Callithrix jacchus: one gene and its partners. The protein of the gene in region 2 binds, or shares a complex with, the protein of the main gene of each other region. Links are inferred from orthologs where the notes say so. Each region holds a gene or a part of one and is shown on either strand. Other genes may lie near its edges.

Region 1 (6,233 bases), on a different chromosome or scaffold from region 2:
ACCTTAAGTGTTTCAGCATGAATTTTATTCAGCTGAGAAACTTCTTGCCGCTTGCAGGCTTTTGTTGCTTCCAAAAGGTTCTCAAGATTAAGGTTCGCTTTTTGCAAAGACTGAAGCTCTGATTCCAATTCTAGCTGCCTTTTCCTAAGAGATATTGTAAAACCAAGTATTTCATGTAATAAGTAATGTCAAACATTTATAGAGTACTTTACAGTTTATGCTCTTGCATAACTTTATAGTTATCTCTAAATCAGAAATATTCTCTATTCTCTCAGATTATTCCCTTCATTCTCCAGTTCGGTAAACTACAGCTCAGAGACTGATGATTGTTTAAGGGATTCAACTAGTAAATGGTAGAGCTCAAATTCAAAAGTCCAGATAGTCCATGATGATACCATATGTGATATGTCATTTCTGAACCAAACATTTATCTATATTTTAGGGTAAGATTTATCTTAGTTATAATATGAATGTGATTTATTTTTGCTTTTACATAATGAAAATCAAGTAGGAATATTAACAAACCTAAACTTCTTAAAAATCTTACCAACTCTGATTAACAAATTTAAATTTAAATAATTTACTATGTAAGTTCAACAGACATCTCAACAGGAAAAATCTGCTTAAAACACCTAGTGCATTAAATATATTAGTAAAGAGCTAGAAGCATGCTCTTTTTCTTCATGACCAAGTAGTTGCTACTATGAGAGTTTAATATTTAAAGTAAAATGCCCAACTGATCAATATTAACACTACAACAAGTGAACACTAAAAGAAAACCAGCGTGCATGCTTGTGTATTTAGACTTTACCTAGTAAGTTCTTTGAATTCTTCATATTCTTGCTTTGAATTATTCAGCTCTGTCTGAATTTGCAGGAGTTGTGCTTTTAACTTCTCAGTGTTTGCAAATGAACATGGCTCTTTCTGAGCTTTAGGAGAAAATCCTTGCTGATCTGTTAATAAGAAAATAATCTAAGTCTTTTTTTTTTTTTTCCAAGACAGGGCCTCACTATGTTGCCCAGGCTAGAGTGCAGTGGCTATTCGCAAGCATGATCATAGTGTAGTAAAGCCCCAAATTCTGGTCTGAAGTGATCTTCCTGCTTTAGCCTCCCAAGCAGTTGGGACTGCAGATGCATGCCACCATCCCTATCTTTACAACTTCAGTGTTTGAAAAAGAAAAATAACAGGACACATTTTCTAAGTTCTCTGTCACAGGAGGAAAATTTGGGCCACAAGGAGGAAAAATGAGAAGTGGGTTGGAAGGTGAGCCCTAAAATATAAAAGCTTATAACTAAGCAGAAGGCACAGGATGTGACACAGTGTGCCAAAGGGGATTAGAAGTCATGTTTAAGAAGCAGAAGCCACAGGATGGAGAAGCATAGTTAAGACAACACCTTTTCCATTATGAGGATGAACAAACAATGACAAAAGTATGGCACATTTAATACTAGCTGGAGAAACAGCAGCCATTGAATCTTGCAGGAATAAGTAGCAGCTAATGTTAACAGCCAAGAAATTATTTAGAAAAGTAACATATAGCAAGGGCAGCAGGTTGTAAGAACCCAGTATCATGTGTCAGGTAGAAAATATTAATTTTCAGAAAATGCTTAGAAGACTATGTTGAAGAGAGTCCACTGAGTTGCAGTGTGGGGAAATCTCATGTAAAAGTTGTTTACAGAATGATAAATGTTTAGAAACTGATGAGATCCAGACATTAGTATCTTCTAAAAGGAGTAAGTCAAGGTACCACAGGGCCCAAAACAAAATGGTCAACAAAATAAAGGGCATTGTAGGGAAAAGTAGTTTAAATAAAACAGAAAACCTAAGGGAGGCATGGTGGCTCACACCTGTAATCCCAGCACTTTGGGAGGCCAAGGCCAGTGGATCATTTGAGGCCAGAAGTTCAAGACCAGCCTAGCCAATATGGCAAAACTCTATCTCTACCAAAAATATAAAAATTGGCTCGGCACGGTGGTGTATGCCTGTAATTCCAGGAGGGAGGCTGACGCAAAAGAATCGCTTGAACGTAGGAGGTAGAGGTTGCAGTGAGCAGAGATTGCACTATAGCCTAGGCAACAAAGTGAGAAAAAACAACAGAAAACCTCCTTCTCAAAAAACAACAGAAAACCTATGGCTCAAAAAAAAACAGAAAACCTGATAGTAATTCTGCATCTAACATCTTAGTCTTTCCCCAACCCAGTTACTCTGAATCTTATTCTATTCAGTCATAACAGAATGGACGGTTTAAAAAAAATGAAATTTTAAAAAGCAAAGAGATAGTCTTCTTTATGAATGTAGAAAAAAAAAAGATTAGAACTTTCTCAATTTCAACCTAAAATGAAACAAATGCCAAGTCTATGATAAAATACCATGGAAATATTAACTCTAATACTGGGCAAACACAGGCTTTGTTACTAAATCCCAGGGCACTAACACCAACAGCTGTCAAGCCTATAAGGCAGATTTAGTACTAACTAAACCACTTTTCACATAGTATGTGAAACTCATGAAAGTAACATGTAAAAACAGAGTGAGTACACTGGTACCACAACATCAGGACCCAAACGCTGTACTGGATGGATTATGAGTCTGACCTCTCTACATCTCTTATATTGCACGGACCTAACTGGATTGATAAACTCTATGTTTTTTCATGTTTGATTAGTTAAGCACTTTTCATTTCAAATACTTTAAACAGGAAAATTTAATAAAAATTTGTATTATCTGAATCGATATTTCTATCAACAAAACAGAAATACAATGAGTATTTTCTTGTTATATCTATTAGCTTACATAGTTTATGCTCTGAGATTTTTGAGGAAAAAAAGTTTAGTAAATGCCTTTTTATAAAATAAAAGAATATGTGTATAAGACATCAGCACAGCAGGCCTGGAGGCTAAAATGAAGACCCTAGTCACAAGGTACTACAAATGCTCTTTAACAGCCCATTCCTATACGGCTTTATATACAACAATCATTTCTTACTTTTGTCACTTTTCTCTATGCCACTTATTTCAGAGAAAGCTTTTTCTAGTTTTGCAATAGTCTGGACATCCATTTCTTGGGCTCTTTTCACAGGCTCTAATAATTTCAGTCTTCTGTTCTCTTCCCTGAGGGAATGATTTTCCATAGCATACTTGGCAACTCTGGGATGGTGCTCTATCTGTGACACAGAAGAATAACATGCATTATATATTTACATTTCCTAAGTGAATTAGTTCCTCTAAAAAGCCATTAGAAAACTAGGTATGCACATGCACTGCTAGTGGTGCCCTTCTGCAACCACTGTGGAAAGCAACTTGGCATTTGTGATGAGTTTGAAAATATGCGTGTCTTGTAACTCTGCTATTCTCATTTGGCGTCTAGACCCTTGAAATGTTCACCCACCTAAGGAGGTAAGCACAAGGGTATACATTATGGAAGGCTTTTCATGCAAAGGAGACTAGTTAAATCAACACACCGAAAATAACAAGGACCAAATGAATCTTGTTGACCAAGATTAACTGAAAAAAGCAAAGCACAGAAAAATGTATAGGAGAAACAAAAGTAAAAATATCCATCCACCCATATTAGTTTGAATGTTCATTAAAACTCTGGAGAGATAAATAAGCTGAGAAGAGATTTTGTTTTTTTCCACAATGTACCTGCATGACCTATCCGTCATTCCTAGGGAAAAGGAAAAACGACAAAAAATTTAAAAGGCACAACTCTAAAGAGGCAACTGACTCAGATAACCACAACCGCCCATGGGGTGAAATTCTGCATGGCCTGCTGGAGTTGCATACTACCTAGTGACGTCACCACAAATTCTTCCTTTTTCCCTACTCTTCCCTTTAAAACTATTTTGAAAAGGCAGGTAAAGGATTTATGCAATCACACTGTCAGTAGAATTCATTTACAACAATTTCTATTGCATTAAAGAACAAGGACTTGGTGACAAATTTACATTGGAACTTCTTTTATTTTTAGAAATATTATAGATGCCCTATACTCACTTGTTCTCGCAGAGTTTGAATCTCTTCCCTTAATTCTGAGAGCAAACGATCCTGCTCCTCAGGCAGAAAAGCTCCCCGGGATTCCTTGTGAAGCTTTTCCAAGCGTATTATTTGATCCTCTCGGAATTTCACAATCATTTTATTAGACTGAATAAATTTTTCCTTTTTGAGGGTGAGGTCTTCTAATTGGGTAACTTTTTCTATCAGAGACTTAAAGAAATTCATAATTTGGTTAAACATGAAAAATAATTCAGCTTACCTATATTTTTATAAGCCCAGCAACAAATACTAACTTCAAATTTAATCTTAAAAACAAAATTAGATTTCTCATGGCCTTCCATTACTTTCTTTATTTACTTGGTATTATTTATTTCACTTAGTAAGGCAATTAAAACCACATAGTGAAAACCTCAAATATCCTGAATCTCCTTTATTACTAATTCAATTTCCTACCTTCTTTTCCTGTTCAGATTTCATAAAGAATAGCATTGCTTCCCGGAAATATTCCACATAGTTAGTCTTCTCTTTGTCTGTAATTGATCCAGTAAGAAAGGGAAGAAGAAAAAAAATATTTAACACATTTCAAAACCAAGAGAACAGATAGCCGTTAATTGCTTGCTCTCAACTAATCTAAAAGAATGAGACTGTGGCCGGGCATGGTGGCTCATGCCAGTAATTCCAGCACTTTAGGAGGCCGAGGCCGGTGGATCACTTGAGGTCAGGAGTTTGAGACCAGTCTGACCAATATGGTGAAACCCTGTCTCTACTAAAAATATAAAAATTAGCTGGACATGGTGGTGTGTGCTGGTAGTCCCAGCTACTCAGGAGGCTGAGGCGGGAGAACCACTTAAGCCCAGGAGGCAGAAGTAGCAATGAGCCAAGATTGTGCCACTACACTTCAGCCTGGGCAACACAGCGAGACTCCATCTCAAAAAAAAAAAAAAAGAGAGAGAGAGACTGTCATCACCAGATCATGGATTTCAAATTAATCATTCCACATATTAGTTGTTCTTCAAAGAAAAATAAGTTTCTCTTTAGATCTATTAATAATTCACCCTCTTGGCTTTATGGATTTCCAGTTACTTAATTATCCACTAGCTATTCTTTGAAGAAAAATAATTCTCTCTTGTCTTATAGTAAGCATATATAGATTACATATGCTATGGAGAAGCAGATCTAAGTGAATCTCTTTTTAGTACTTATTATGGATTATTAAAAATTATCTTAATTCCTCCTTCTACCATATCTCACAGAACTCACTGCCTATGGTATCTGTATCTGATTACAAACAAAGCACTATGTTCCTACATAGGAGAAATAAGCAGAAAGAGATACTCGTGGAAAAAGCTGTGCTGCCTTACTGTGTGTGTCTATCACCAAGGGCTCTTAAACTATTATTTGTACACAGTCTTCCCCAAGATAAAGGCCAGCATACTCATCGTACCTCTGGTCAGGAAGCTTTCTGGTGGTGTCCGTCCTGAAGCAAGCTCAGCCAGTTGTTCTTTGAGCCTCTTTACTTCAGCTTGGAGCTGGCTCACATTTCCTTGGGTGTCTTCATTTACTACTGCCTGTTCAAGAATTTTTTAAGAAGCATTAAATAATGCTTTTTGAGTAGTAGAGTTCTGTGTTTACATTTGCTTGGTATGATTTGTAGTGATTAACATCAAACAAAACTTCATGACCACCTAATAGTCAAAAGGCCACAGGAATTACAGTATGTTCGAATGGGGAGGAAGATTCCTTTTCTTGTGCCTTCAGATCTGGAACCAGAGACAGCCTCAGGCAAGCTCTCTTCCCTGCAGCTGACCAGCCCTGAGCTGTTAGGCTGGGTCACACTTTGGATCCGGGTGTGTTCACCTAACACTTCCTTCCCTGAGAACAACAGCCTTTCCCCACCCTCCCAATGGAGAAGAGCAAACACCTAATGAGTATCATTTCCACTCTTTCCTAGCTCCCTATGGGGAAGGAGCCAAGCCTCTAAGCCTGTGGTGACATGCAGGGCTTGCTTGAGCTCGGCAGAAGCAACCTTCCCCAGAGGAATCCAACCTTTATTTTTTAATAACCCTCTTGGAAGAAGGGGTTGGTTTGACACTTCCATTTTTTTTTTTTAACCACACTAAATGATACCTTCATTTTCTAAAAGAAATGTCTTCTTTAAGACAACTCCTAAAAGGCTAAAGGGCTCCCAAACAAAATGTGCCACTATGGGGATGTCAGGAGTGAGGGAGGTCACACATG
Region 2 (6,233 bases):
ATCATTATTAATTTATGCCCAATTCTAGTTCCTAACCAATAGGGAGGATAATAAAACTAATCATTTTGATGCAGTATACTAAGTGTGGATACATAGGAAGCTTTCCTGGGGGAATCATTGTGCTGCTGTTTTTCTTTGTGTGTATCAAAGCGTGATCATTTTTTTTTTTTTATTTTGTAGGACTCTGCTTCATAAAAGTGTAATGATCATTAGTGGTTGTATTAGTCTGTTCTCACACTGTTATAAAGAACTACCTGAGGCCAGGCGCAGCACCTCATACCTGTAATCCCAGCGCTTTGGGAGGCTAAGGTGGGCGGATCACTTGAGTTCATGAGTTTGAGACCAACCTGGGCAACATGTTGAAACCCTGTCTCTACCAAAAATACAAAAAAATTAGCCAGGCATGGTGGTGCGCACCTGTAGTCCCAGCTACTCAGGAGGCTGAGGCAGGAGAATCACTTGAGCTGGGAGGCAGAGGTCGCAGTGAGCCAAGATTGCGCCACTGCACTCCAGTCTGGGTGACAGAGTGAGGCCCTATCTCAAAAAAAAAAGTAATTTTCTTCATAAATTACCTAAAACTGGGTAATTTATGAAGAAAGGAGGTTAGTTGACTCCCATTTCCGCAGGTTTAACAGGAAGCATGACTGGGAGACTTCAGGAAACTCATAATCATGGCAGAAGGTGAAAGGGAAGGCATGTCTTACCATGGCAGAGCAGGAGAGAGAGAGAGCAAACCAGGAAATGCCACACACTTTAAACCCATCAGATCTTGTGAGAGAGCTCTGTCACTACCACAAGAACAGCAAGGAGGAAGTCTGCCCCCATGATCCAGTCACGTCCCACCAGGTCTCTCTGCCAATTTGACATGAGATTTGTTCAGGGACACAAATCCAGACCGTATCAGTGGTAAATAATGTAGAACTTTGTAAAACAAAAGAAAACTAAGCAAATAAACCTCAACACATCATCTTAGGTCTTGAAAAGATAAAGATCATTTTAGAGGCTAGTGGGTAAAGATGAGGCATATTAAGGAAAGACAGGCCTGGTGAGGTGGCTCTTGCCTGTAATCCCAGCACTTTGAGGGGCCAAGGCAGACGAATTACCTAAGGTCAGGAGACCGGCCTGGCCAACGTGGTGAAACCCCGTCTCTGCTGAAAATACAAAAATTAGCCAGGCATAGTGGCAGGTGCCTGTAATCCCAGCTACTCAGGAGGCTGAGGCAGGAGAATCGCTTGAACCAGGGAGGTGGAGGTTTCAGTGAGCCTAGATCATGCCATTACACTCCAGCCTGGGGACAAGAGCGAGACTTTGTCTCAAAAAAAACCAAAAAAACAAAATAGAAGAACTGTTGGGCTTTGTGTCTAGAGAATTTGGAGCCAGGAAGAACTGTCAGGTTTCTTCTCATCAGGTAAGGAAAACTGGAAGCAAAACAGGGACTATTGGAACAAAACAGTGGGCTAATTTAAGAAAGCATCCTAGAGAAAACAAGTAAATAAACAAGCAGCCCAGGAAGGAAGGAAGTATACAAAATTTAGAAACTTACGACCTACATTTGAAGTGACTGTATCAAGTAAAATGCACTGTGATTTGACCCTTATCTTTCATTTAGTTAATGCTTCTAGTCTAGGAACTTAGAACCTCATTACTTGATTAGTTTTAACTCACATATTTGCCATGCTACTAAATTACTCAGATTTTCCTTAAACTGATTTTTTTTTTGCATTATTTCATACTAGTTTATTTAGAGGTTCCGTTTTCACTCCTCAATAGATTTTATGTATTTCTTATATGCTTCTTCACTCATAAGTTCATCTAGTTCTGAAGGGTTACTCAGTGTCATCTTTATCAGCCAACCATCCTCATAACAAGATTTGTTTACATGTCCTGGATTTTCTGCAAGGGCTTCATTAATTTGAGTTACTTCTTCCGATAAAGGAGAATAGAGTTCACTAGCATCTTTCACAGTTTCCAAAGCATCAAATTCATCGTTTGTTCAATTTCGTGCCAACTTTAAGCTGACTACAGTAAACAATGTCTCCCAATGTTTCCTGTGCAAAATTGCTGATTCCCACTATTCCAATACCATTTTCTGTTGTTATCCATTCCTGTTTCTCTGTGAATTTACACACTGAGATCAGAGCGGGTCCCGTGCGCAGCATTGGGATGGCGCCTGCCCCCCAGCTGCCAGGACCAGGACCTTGGCAGGCAGGACGCTGCAGGTGACTGGACTGCGCACAGGGTGCAGAGAACGGCCCACACACTCCACACCACTCGCAGCTTTATGTTCGAAGGGGTACCCAGGTCGCAGCACTACGCCTCCACCACCCACGTGGAGAGGTGGGGCTGGGTGGGGCTGAATTTTGTTTTTTGAGTTGGGTTCTCTCTCACCTAGGCTGGAGTGCAGTGGCATGATCTCGGCTCACTGTAACCTCCACCTCTCTGGCTCAAGCGATCCTCCCACATCGGCCTGCCAAGTAACTGGGACCATCGGTGTGTGCCACTGTGCCTGGCTAATTCTTTGTATTTTTTTAGACCATGTTTCACTATGTTGCACAGGCTGATCTTAAACTCTTGAGCTCAAGCATCCACCCACATCGGCCTCCCAAAGTGCTGGGATTACTGGTGTGAGCCACTGCACTTGGCCCTGACTTTCTTATTTAACCTTAACTTCATTCTTTATCTATCTGTGTATTTATCTGAAAGGCCTTCTTCAGTTGAAGCTTAAAGACATACACAAATTTATTCAATTAAGTATTTATTTATGCCAACACTTTGCTAAATAAAAGTATCATTGGCCAAGGATACTATGATGAACAAAAATGGATTTAGCCTTTGACTTCATGTAAAAGTACAATTTTGTTAAGTTCCACAAAGGAGAGACACATGATATGAGAAGGCACAATAGGAGGAAATAAAAAGCAAGCTCTAGGGATGAGTGAGTAGGAGTTACCTAGACTGAAGAAAAGGAGGCACACCATTCCAAGGAGCTGAAACAGCATGTTTAGGAGTTCCCTAGCGTAAGGGAGGATGGTATCAGAAGGGATGGACCAAAGGCTTTGATGTTGGAGCTGGGGGAGAGGGAGTGTGATATAAGGTAAAGTTAGAGTTAGAAAGGGGTTGGAGCAATCAAGGCTTTGAAGCATTGTTGTCTTCATCTTTTGAACACTTAACCTTGAAGGGTTTGTGGAAAGATCACTAGTGAGACAATGTCAAGTGAAAAGAAGAAAAGGCCTTGGGATCTGTTATTTAATTTTATTGGCCAAGAAGAGCTTACTCTATTTTTTAACCATCTTAGTTCTTTTTTCTTTTCTTTTTTTAATTTGCTCCTCCTGCCAAAAGGCAGGGGAGATAAATAAAACTTTATGAAGTAGATTTAACTCTTTCTTCACTTTGATGTCTTTAAGAGACCTAGAGCATTTCTCTCTGATATATTTCATTAAAAGCTTAACAGCATAAACATGGTAGCATTAATCTTAATTGCATCCTTGTGAAATATTTTTATGTAGATTACAGTCTTATTACAATGTTAAAAAATAAATACTGTTAATATATCATGTGAATGTAATGTTTCACAATTTTCAAAGTACTTTTACATGTAACATTTATCTTACTGGAAGGAGTAACTGTAAATGAATTTCAGTTCCTTAGAATAAATTATATATAAGCAGCTTGTCTAATTTATTTAAATACTCTTTTTTCACATTTGCTGAGTTTTTAATATGATTGGAAGAAAGAAAGTAGTTTTCAAAGGTGTTTAAGATTATGATACCTCCCTAAACCAGGCTGGAAAGTAAGAGACTTTTCTTTACTCTGAAGTTTGCTTTAATATTTTTTAACAACAGGAGGTGAGCGTTCTACTTAACCATAATTTCTTTTTTCTTCAGGACAACATAGGAGAGCTTGACCTAGATAAACAGTCTGAACTTAGAGCTTTAAGGAAAAAAGAACTGGATGAGGAGGAAAGCATTCGGAAAAAAGCTGTGCAATTTGGAACTGGTGAACTGTGTGATGCCATCTCTGCAGTAGAAGAGAAAGTGAGCTACTTGAAACCTTTAGATTTTGAAGAAGCCAGAGAACTTTTCTTATTGGGTCAGCACTATGTCTTTGAGGCCAAACAGTTCTTTCAGATTGATGGTTATGTCACTGACCATATTGAAGTTGTCCAAGACCACAGTGCTCTGTTTAAGGTGCTTGCATTCTTTGAAACTGACATGGAGAGACGGTGCAAGATGCATAAACGCAGAATAGCCATGCTAGAGCCCCTAACTGTAGACCTGAATCCACAGTATTATCTGTTGGTCAACAGACAGATCCAGTTTGAAATTGCACATGCTTACTATGATATGATGGATTTGAAGGTCACCATTGCTGACAGGCTAAGGGATCCTGATTCACACATTGTAAAAAAAATAAATAATCTTAATAAGTCAGCATTGAAGTACTACCAGCTCTTCTTAGACTCCCTGAGAGACCCAAATAAAGTATTTCCTGAGCATATAGGGGAAGATGTTCTTCGCCCTGCCATGTTAGCGAAGTTTCGAGTTGCCAGTCTCTATGGCAAAATCATTACTATGGATCCCAAGAAAGAGCTGGAAAATCTGGCAACATCATTGGAACATTACAAATTTATTGTTGATTACTGTGAAAAGCATCCTGAGGCTGCCCAGGAAATAGAAGTTGAGCTAGAACTTAGTAAAGAGATGGTTAGTCTTCTCCCAGCAAAAATGGAGAGATTCAGAACCAAGATGGCCCTGACTTAATCCCTGCTTTTAAAGAAAGGAAATGCATAATGTTGAAGTGATCTTTTTCCCTAGTCAAACTGGCGCAATTCCATTGTGATGTTTACCTTTATAGCCAGTTGAGTGCAGTTTGAGCTTGAAATACAGTAAACTGAGTGTTTGCTAGGATCCTAAGGAACATAAAGTTAATTAATAATTTACACCTAATTATGTAAATTGCCTTGTTAAAGACATGTGATTTTTGTATTTTCGATGCTTGTTTCTATTTAAATATAAACCTTTTTAAATGTAGATTATTTGTTGGCTAGTACTTGATAGATTCCTTGTAAGAAAAAATGCTGGGTAATATACCTGGTAGTCAAGTCTGTTACTGTATTAAAATTGAAAAAGTAACTCTGTAGTTACTCTTTCTAAAATATTTGATTTCCTAAATTCCCCCCACTCAAAATCTTTCCCTTTTGAAAATACTAAAAACTAAGTTATGTTATTATAAAGTGTAAAATGGTTTGTCTCAATTATAGGAGCAAAAGGCCTTGTTGGAAAGAAAATAAACAGACTTATTTCACTAATAAAAACTTCCATTTCCCCTTTTATTTTCTTGTGAGCATTGGTTTTATTTTTTTGATACCTCAGAGATATTAGCATATTTGAAACTAGAGAGGAATATTTTTTCAATAACATTACAAAGTTAGAAAACATTAAAATATCATTCATGGCTGAGTGCGGTGGCTCATGCCTGTAATCCCAGCACTTTGGGAGGCTGAGGTGGGAGGATCACTTGAACCCATCTCGACAAAACATACAAAAATTAGATGGGGCATGATGCCACCTGCCTGTAATCCCAGCTTCTTGGGAGGCTAAAGTGGGAGGATTGCTTGAGCCCAGGAGGCCAAGGCTGCAGTAAACCATAATTGCCACTACACTCCAGCCTGGATGATAGTGAGATCCTGTCTCAAAAAATAAAAAAGTAAATAAAGTAAAAAGTAAAATAAAATATTATTCACTTAGTAAATGTTTACTGAGCTATTACTGTGTCCCAGGAAACTTTTATTGACTGTGATTTCTCATCAGGGGATCCTGGCATGTTTACAAACTTTTAAGCACTGTTGAGAAGGGATATATATGTTATGACTAAACCTTGGTGTTAGTCATTTTAAGAAATGCAGGATTAAAATAGAATTCCTCTTGGGTGTATTGTCAAGATCAGTTGTAACATTTAATACAGAGAATAGCTCTGGGTGTTAGCTTGCCTGTTAATTTGCTTCTGAAAGCTTAGGTCTGGATCAACGCTAAGGTTCTGTAACATTTATGTTAACATAAACATATGAACATCACCTTGCTTTCCCTTTGAGATCAATTTTCCAGGAAGAAAAATCTTTGAGTATAGCAGTCAGAAGTGTGTAATTCACTCAGTATTTAACTGATATTTATTGAAGTCTTTACTAAGGTCAGGCCCTGTTCTCACTTTTCTAATTATAGATAATATGGTGATAA
Region 3 (6,233 bases), on a different chromosome or scaffold from region 2:
AGGAGTTCAAATAACTCTAGGAAAAAAATCTAATGATCTGATTTAAAAAATGGGCAAAAGAATAGACATTTCTCAAAAGAAGACATACAAATGGAAACAGGCATATGAAAAGGAACTCGGCATCACTGATCATCAGAAAGATGTAAATCAAAACAATAATGAGATATCATCTCACCAGTTAAAATGGCTTTTATCCAAAAGATAGGCAACAGCAAATACTGGCGAGGATGTGGAGAAAAGGGAATACTTGTATACCGTTCACGGGGATATAAATTGGTACCACTAAAAAGAAAGTTTAAAGATTCCTCAAAAACTAAAAATAGAGCTACCATATGATCCAGCAATTCCCCTGGTAGATGTATACAAAAATGAAACAAAATCAGTATAATGAAGAGATAACTGCACTACCATGTTTATTGCAGCACTATTCACAATAGCCAAGATTTGGAAGCAACCTAAGTGCCCATCAACAAATAAATAAAGAAAATATGGTATGTATACACAATTAAATACTATTCCGCTGTGAAACAAAAATGAGACCTGGTCATTTGCAACAACATGGATGGAACTGGTGGTAATTATATTAAGTGAAATAAGCCATGTACAGAAAGACAAACTTGGCATGTTCTCACTCATTTTGGGGAAGTTAAAAATTAAATAAATTGAACTCATGGAGAAAAAGAGTAGAATGATAGTTACCAGAGGCTGGGAAGGGTTTTTCGGAAGACTGGGGAAGATGGTTACTGTGACGGTTGCTGGAGACTGGGGAGATGGTTAATTAAGCAATCTAATGAATAATATCTAGCATTTGATAGCGCAACAGGGTGACTATAGTCAACAATAATGTATTGTACCTTTAAAAAATAACTAAGTATAATTAGATTGTTTATAACACAAAGGATAAATCTTTGAGGTGATAGATACCACATTTACACTGATGTGATTATTACACATTGTATACTTGTATCAAAATATCTCAGGCACCCCATAATACATACACCTACTATGTACTTACAAAAATTAAAAACAAATCTATCTTTCGGTTCACTATTACTCTCTTCTGCTGTACCTAATCTGCTAAATTGATGTATTGAGTTCTTAATCTCAGTAAATTCTGTATTTTCAGTTCTAGAATATCCATTTGATTAATTTTAAGAGAGTCTGGTTCTTTGGGAAAGAATGTATTTGTTGAAATTATTACAGTTAAAATTTTAAATTCCTATCTGATAATCCCAGTATCTGCCTCACGTATGAATCACTGCTCCTATGATTTTTTTTTTTCTCTTAAATTTTAGTCATTTGGTCCTGTCTCCTGGCATACTTTGTAATTTTTGTTTAAGTGTGAAACATTGATATAAAAAAAACTATAGAGGTTCCAGATGGTATATTCTTCCAGAGATAATTTAATTTTCCTGTGGCAAGCAGAGCCAAGATAAATCACCTTGATCCAATCAAGAATTGAGTTGGTCTAAGGTCCGTTTCAGACTTCCAAGAACTGGCCTATTTCTAGTTTGCCCTACTTCTAGCTGAAACACCCTTCAGGGCCTCTTGTTTATGGTAGTCCCCGAACTCCAATTTTTCTGTGAAAGCTTCATAAGAATGTCAAAACTCTGCTTAATACTTTAGCTTCTTTTTTTTTTTATATTTAATCAATAGGTATATATTTATTTATTTATTTATTTATTTTCTTATTTTTTTATTGCATTTTAGGTTTTGGGGTACATGTGCAGAGCATGCAATACAGTTGCATAGGTACACACATGGCAGTGTGTTCTGTTTGCTTTAGCTTCTTAGCAGCTACTTTCAGCTTGGTGGCTTAGCCTTGCATTCCACAAAGCTGAGAACTTGGCAAATGCCTTGGGGATAAAAACCGCACAGAACAGTTGTTTCCCTAGCTCAGTAACACTGCTGATAGCTCTAAGTTTCCATTTTCTGTTTGGCCTCTATGCCTTATGCCATAAATTGGCAAATGCTAAATAAAAAAAAGAGGCAGAGAAAGTCTGGCTGTCTATAGCATGTTTCCTTTTTCTCTGGGATCTTAGTCTCTCAATCCTGGCTACCATGGTTGTTCTCCATTGCCTTCAAGCAGCTGTTGGTTCTATTTTACGTACTCCTAATAATTGTTCTTGCTGAGCAACTTGGTCTGATAAAAGCTAAATTGTCTTAGGAAGAAGTAAAAGTCTCTTCATTCATTATATATTAGTCACATATCATAAGCCATTAAAATAACATAATTCTAAGATGGAAGAAATTTGGTAATGTTTAGAAAGGATAATACAAATAAGTAAAAACTGTCAGCCCTGAAAAGTTAAAATTAAGTAGTTTTTGAAAGCTAGAAAACTTTTTATTTGTAAAACTCAGAAATATGAAATACTTTATATAAATATCAAGTGAAATACTTGAGTTTTTCAAGATCTTCCTTTGATAATATAAATCCAGTACCCCATTCAGGGCAATTTATCCCAAGTATGCTTAAATATGAATTGAGTCTAATTACAAAAAATAAAAAAGCAACAGAAAACAACATATAAAGATGATCTTATATAACTATAGAAACCCATCCAGTTTATGTTTAATCATACCTTGCTAATTTCCGTTTCCTTTTGGCAGCAGCAGTCATTGCCATGTAGGATGGCACCATGCTTCGTATAGGCATAGACTGCTTAGATGAGAATGAAGGGTCAAGCCTGTATATCAAAGTGACAAATAAAATATAATAATTTTGATTTAAACTATGAAGAAAAAAGGAAGCAAACATTACCATAATTAGAAAACTATTTGTTATTAATATATAAAGAAAAACATTCTGCTATACCATACAGATTTTCTTGCTTGACTGGGGTTTTCTTTTCTCTTTTTAATATACGTAAAGTTGCTATCAAGAGATTTCTTCATTCCCAATGGCATAGAATAGTGAAGGTATTTTTCTTTCGATATTTAGATTGGGCATGATTATACAGATAAAGTGAGAAGGATATGTTTGCTTGGATGACACACATTCAACCATACTTTAGCGATATGACTATTTCAGAGTAAGATGAGTTTTTAATAGAAAGTGTGGAATTTCCTTCAGTGAAAATATTAATAAATAAACATAATAAGCTGCCAATGACAGCTTTTATAACCCAATTTCAGGGTAAGAGAACAAACTAACATATATCTTAAGGTCTCTGGTAGTCTAATGAGGGTCAATTGACTTAAGATATCAAATTTAAGACTTTAAAATATTGTGTTAGTGAGTTAATATTCAGAGAGAAAAATAATTAAAATTTAATGAAAGTAAAACAGACTGTTTTATAATCAAAATAGCACATGTGGTTTATCAAATAATCTCAACTAATAGTTGAAAGTCTACATTAAGAAAAAAAAAGAATTGGCAAACTTTTTTTGTACCGTTGTAAAATGTTTTTGTTGTCATTTAGTAGTGATTCTTGTTCAGGTAATTTACACTGTAAGCTCTTGGTGTCTTCACATATAGTAAATGTAGAGTCCAAGACCTCCTGTCCACATTCTTCTCTTCTGTTATGAGGGATAGCTACTTCACACAACATTTTCAGAGAATTACCACTGTTTATGTTTGAGCTGATAGCCTGAAAACTTGTCGTAAATGATGATGGTTTTATTAAAGTTACTGTAGATGGATTTTGAAAAGTTTTTCTACAGTCTTCTGGTGTATACACAATAGGCTGAAGTTCTTTACAAAGAGAATCATTGAGCTGCACACTTTCAGATAATGGAGATTTTACAGTATGCTGTCCTTTCAAGGGAGATGGCATTAGTTTTCTCCGAGTTCTTTTTTGTGGAGGAATCTTAAGCAGATTAGATTCACTTGAAGATGTGCCTGTTCAAAAAATAAAAAATAAAAAAGACACTCAATAATGTTTCCTAGTTTTTAAAAAATAACTCCATTAGTTTTAAAACTAACAAACCCTAATAATGTATTCTTATGGCAATTGATAAAAATCTGAAAAATATAAGTTGGAAAGGAAAATATCATAGTTAACTACTAAAAACTTTAAATAAAGTTGATAAACTCATTATAAAGAAATTCTATAACATAAAATAAATACATTGCTAATGTCAATATTAATTTATAGGCATAACTTTCTTGAGATATTGGGTAATTAGGGAACAAATTTCCATTCAATTCCAACAAAATTCATAATTCCTAGCTTTCATGTTTGATTTGGGTTTAAGATGAAAATAGTATTCAACTTTTAATACTGTTTTTTAAACACTTGTTCCATCGTAAAATGTTATTAGTTTATTACTTTTGTCTTGTTTTTTAGATTCAAGGGTACATGCATAGGTTTGTTATATGAGAATACTGGGTGATGCTAGTATTTGGGTGTCCGTGGTCAGTTTATTACTAATTGAGTGGAAGTCTAGTCTAAATTAACAAGAATGGAAACAACCAGTAAAATTCTGAGTGAATGAAAGGATTGTTTTTGTTAAGTGTCAGGTATACAGAGTTAACCCTGGGTAGCTGCAGATTCTGCATCTGTGGATTCAACCAACTGCACACTGAAAATATTCAGAAAACAAACAAACCAAAATTAAAAAAAAAAATAAAAATATATAGTATAACAACCATTTTATGGCATTTGTATTGGATTAGGTATTATAAGTAATCTAGAGATGATTTAAAGTACACAGAAGGATATGTGTAGCCTATATACTATGCCATTCTATGTAAGGGACTTGAGCATTCATAGATTTTGGTATCTGGATGGGTTCCTGGAATCAACGTGCTTATCCCCAGGATACTGAGAGAAAACTATAGTCAGTTATGCAGTCTAGTTAACTGATTTGTCTCCTATATAATACGCAACTCATAGGTTTGCAAAAATGAGATTTAATACTAAAGATAAATGAAATAACTCCGAGTTCAGAGTACTTTTACCCTCACCACTCTGTAGAAGTCAATCTCCTAAATGTCAAGAGGTCACCAAGTCTGATGATCTTTCTTAGCTGTATCTAATAGCTTCTGTAGCTTTTCAAAATTATATCTTTACTATTTCAACATCTGTGTTATTCTCTTCTTCTTCCATCCAGTAAATGTACACATTTCCCTAAGGAGCTGTACTTGACTCTCTAGTTGTCTTGTTCCACAGTTTCTCATATTTCTAATTACACTTTTATTATTACCTTCTGTCACCTGGGTTCCAAATTACTAGATTTTTGTTTTCTTTTCCTTTTCCCTTGCATTTCCCAATCTCTATCAATCTGTCTTTCTTTCTTTTTTCTTTTTTTTGAGAAAGAGTTTCGCTCTTGTTACCCAGGCTGGAGTGCAATGGCGCGATCTTGGCTCACCGCAACCTCCACCTCCTGGGTTCAGGCAATTCTCCTGCCTCAGCCTCCTGAGTAGCTGGGATTACAGGCACGCGCCACCATGCCCAGCTAATTTTTTGTCTTTTTAGTAGAGATGGGGTTTCACCTTGTTGACCAGGATGGTCTCGATCTCTTGACCTTGTGATCCACCCGCCTCGGCCTCCCAAAGTGCTGGGATTACAGGCGTGAGCCACCATGCCCGGCCCTCACTTCTGTCTTTCTTATGCTTATAGTTAAAACATAATTTTGTTTATGTCATCCTTCTGATTAAAGACTTTGTAGTAACCTTTAAACAGAAACAAAATATGCTATTATTTTTAGTTGGGGAATTCATGGTCCTTGCTCCAAAATTAAGAAACAAATTGTTTACAATATTAGATTTAGTATTTAATACTTAACATTTAAAAACACGAGCATCTGGTAAACACCTTTTATTAATGTTCAAAATAATAAATGACATATGTAACAATACAGTTGATCAACTTCAGTGTGATTATCTTAAATTTTTCAATTAACTTTTCTCTACCTACTTCATTCTGGTGAACTTCATGATGTCTGACACAAAATACTTTTTTTGGAGTGTACTGTCAATGGAAGAAACTATGTGTATTTCCATTCATGCTGTCTGATCATGAAGTAAAATTCCCAGTTGATGTTATATTTACTTTACTACATAATACTAACTTAAAGAACATTGAAAGCAGAATAAGTGTTGCTCATTTCAATAAAGCAATTCAAACTTTCAACCAAGTTAGAAAATACACCTAAAGCAATCAGCAACAGTACATGTATTATTCTTATTATATTACTTGACAATATGCTCTGCTATGGCTAGGTTGATAATTACCCTCTAGGAAATAAAATTTAAAAACAGAAGAAAAATATGATCCCTGTTCTTTTAA

The links. The genes of interacting proteins can lie anywhere in the genome.
Region 1: the proteins of KIFBP (region 2) and KIF15 are in contact, whole or in part, in a cryo-EM structure (PDB 6ZPH), measured with the Homo sapiens proteins. The link is inferred for Callithrix jacchus from reciprocal best matches to the Homo sapiens genes KIFBP and KIF15. Residues at the interface, in NP_056449.1 of Homo sapiens: Lys26, Tyr33, Lys36, Ile106, Glu109, Ile147, Ser150, Glu151, Glu153, Thr208, His209, Tyr212, Tyr213, Gln216, Gln219, His220, Phe224, Gln238, Glu248, Trp249, Ile251, Asn252, Thr255, Gln258, Phe259, Asn262, Tyr415, Val416, Thr417, Glu421; in NP_064627.1 of Homo sapiens: Leu187, Glu189, Ile191, Lys192, Lys193, Arg231, Glu232, Arg235, Arg271, Met280, Arg281, Leu282, Lys283, Glu284, Ala285, Gly286, Asn287, Asn289, Arg290, Leu292, Ser293, Gly296, Gln297, Ile299, Ala301, Val303, Asp304, Val305, Gly306, His312.
Region 3: the proteins of KIFBP (region 2) and KIF18A are in contact, whole or in part, in a cryo-EM structure (PDB 7RSI), measured with the Homo sapiens proteins. The link is inferred for Callithrix jacchus from reciprocal best matches to the Homo sapiens genes KIFBP and KIF18A. Residues at the interface, in NP_056449.1 of Homo sapiens: Ser150, Glu151, Tyr212, Tyr213, Gln216, His220, Gln238, Ile251, Asn252, Thr255, Gln258, Asn262, Gly414, Tyr415, Val459, Asp460, Leu461, Asn462, Pro463, Gln464, Leu467; in NP_112494.3 of Homo sapiens: Glu181, Thr183, Gln184, Lys185, Gly186, Arg274, Phe275, Val276, Glu277, Gly278, Thr279, Asn280, Ile281, Arg283, Ser284, Leu285, Leu288, Gly289, Val291, Ile292, Arg314, Lys317, Asp318, Gly322, Asn323.

The regions. Positions count from the first base shown.
Region 1 is NC_133516.1:27,561,416-27,567,648, reverse strand, and holds part of KIF15 (kinesin-like protein KIF15), read right to left. Parts: intron 5,564-6,233; coding exon 5,440-5,563; intron 4,526-5,439; coding exon 4,449-4,525; intron 4,206-4,448; coding exon 3,996-4,205; intron 3,164-3,995; coding exon 2,986-3,163; intron 954-2,985; coding exon 812-953; intron 145-811; coding exon 3-144; intron 1-2. UniProt on the Homo sapiens protein: Plus-end directed kinesin-like motor enzyme involved in mitotic spindle assembly.
Region 2 is NC_133513.1:61,063,242-61,069,474, reverse strand, and holds the end of KIFBP (KIF-binding protein), read left to right. Parts: intron 1-1,414; exon of another isoform or gene 1,415-2,277; intron 2,278-2,975; exon of another isoform or gene 2,976-2,999; intron 3,000-3,884; coding exon 3,885-4,760; 3' UTR 4,761-5,332; downstream 5,333-6,233. UniProt on the Homo sapiens protein: Activator of KIF1B plus-end-directed microtubule motor activity. Required for organization of axonal microtubules, and axonal outgrowth and maintenance during peripheral and central nervous system development.
Region 3 is NC_133511.1:93,433,746-93,439,978, forward strand, and holds part of KIF18A (kinesin-like protein KIF18A), read right to left. Parts: intron 3,842-6,233; coding exon 3,394-3,841; intron 2,688-3,393; coding exon 2,583-2,687; intron 1-2,582.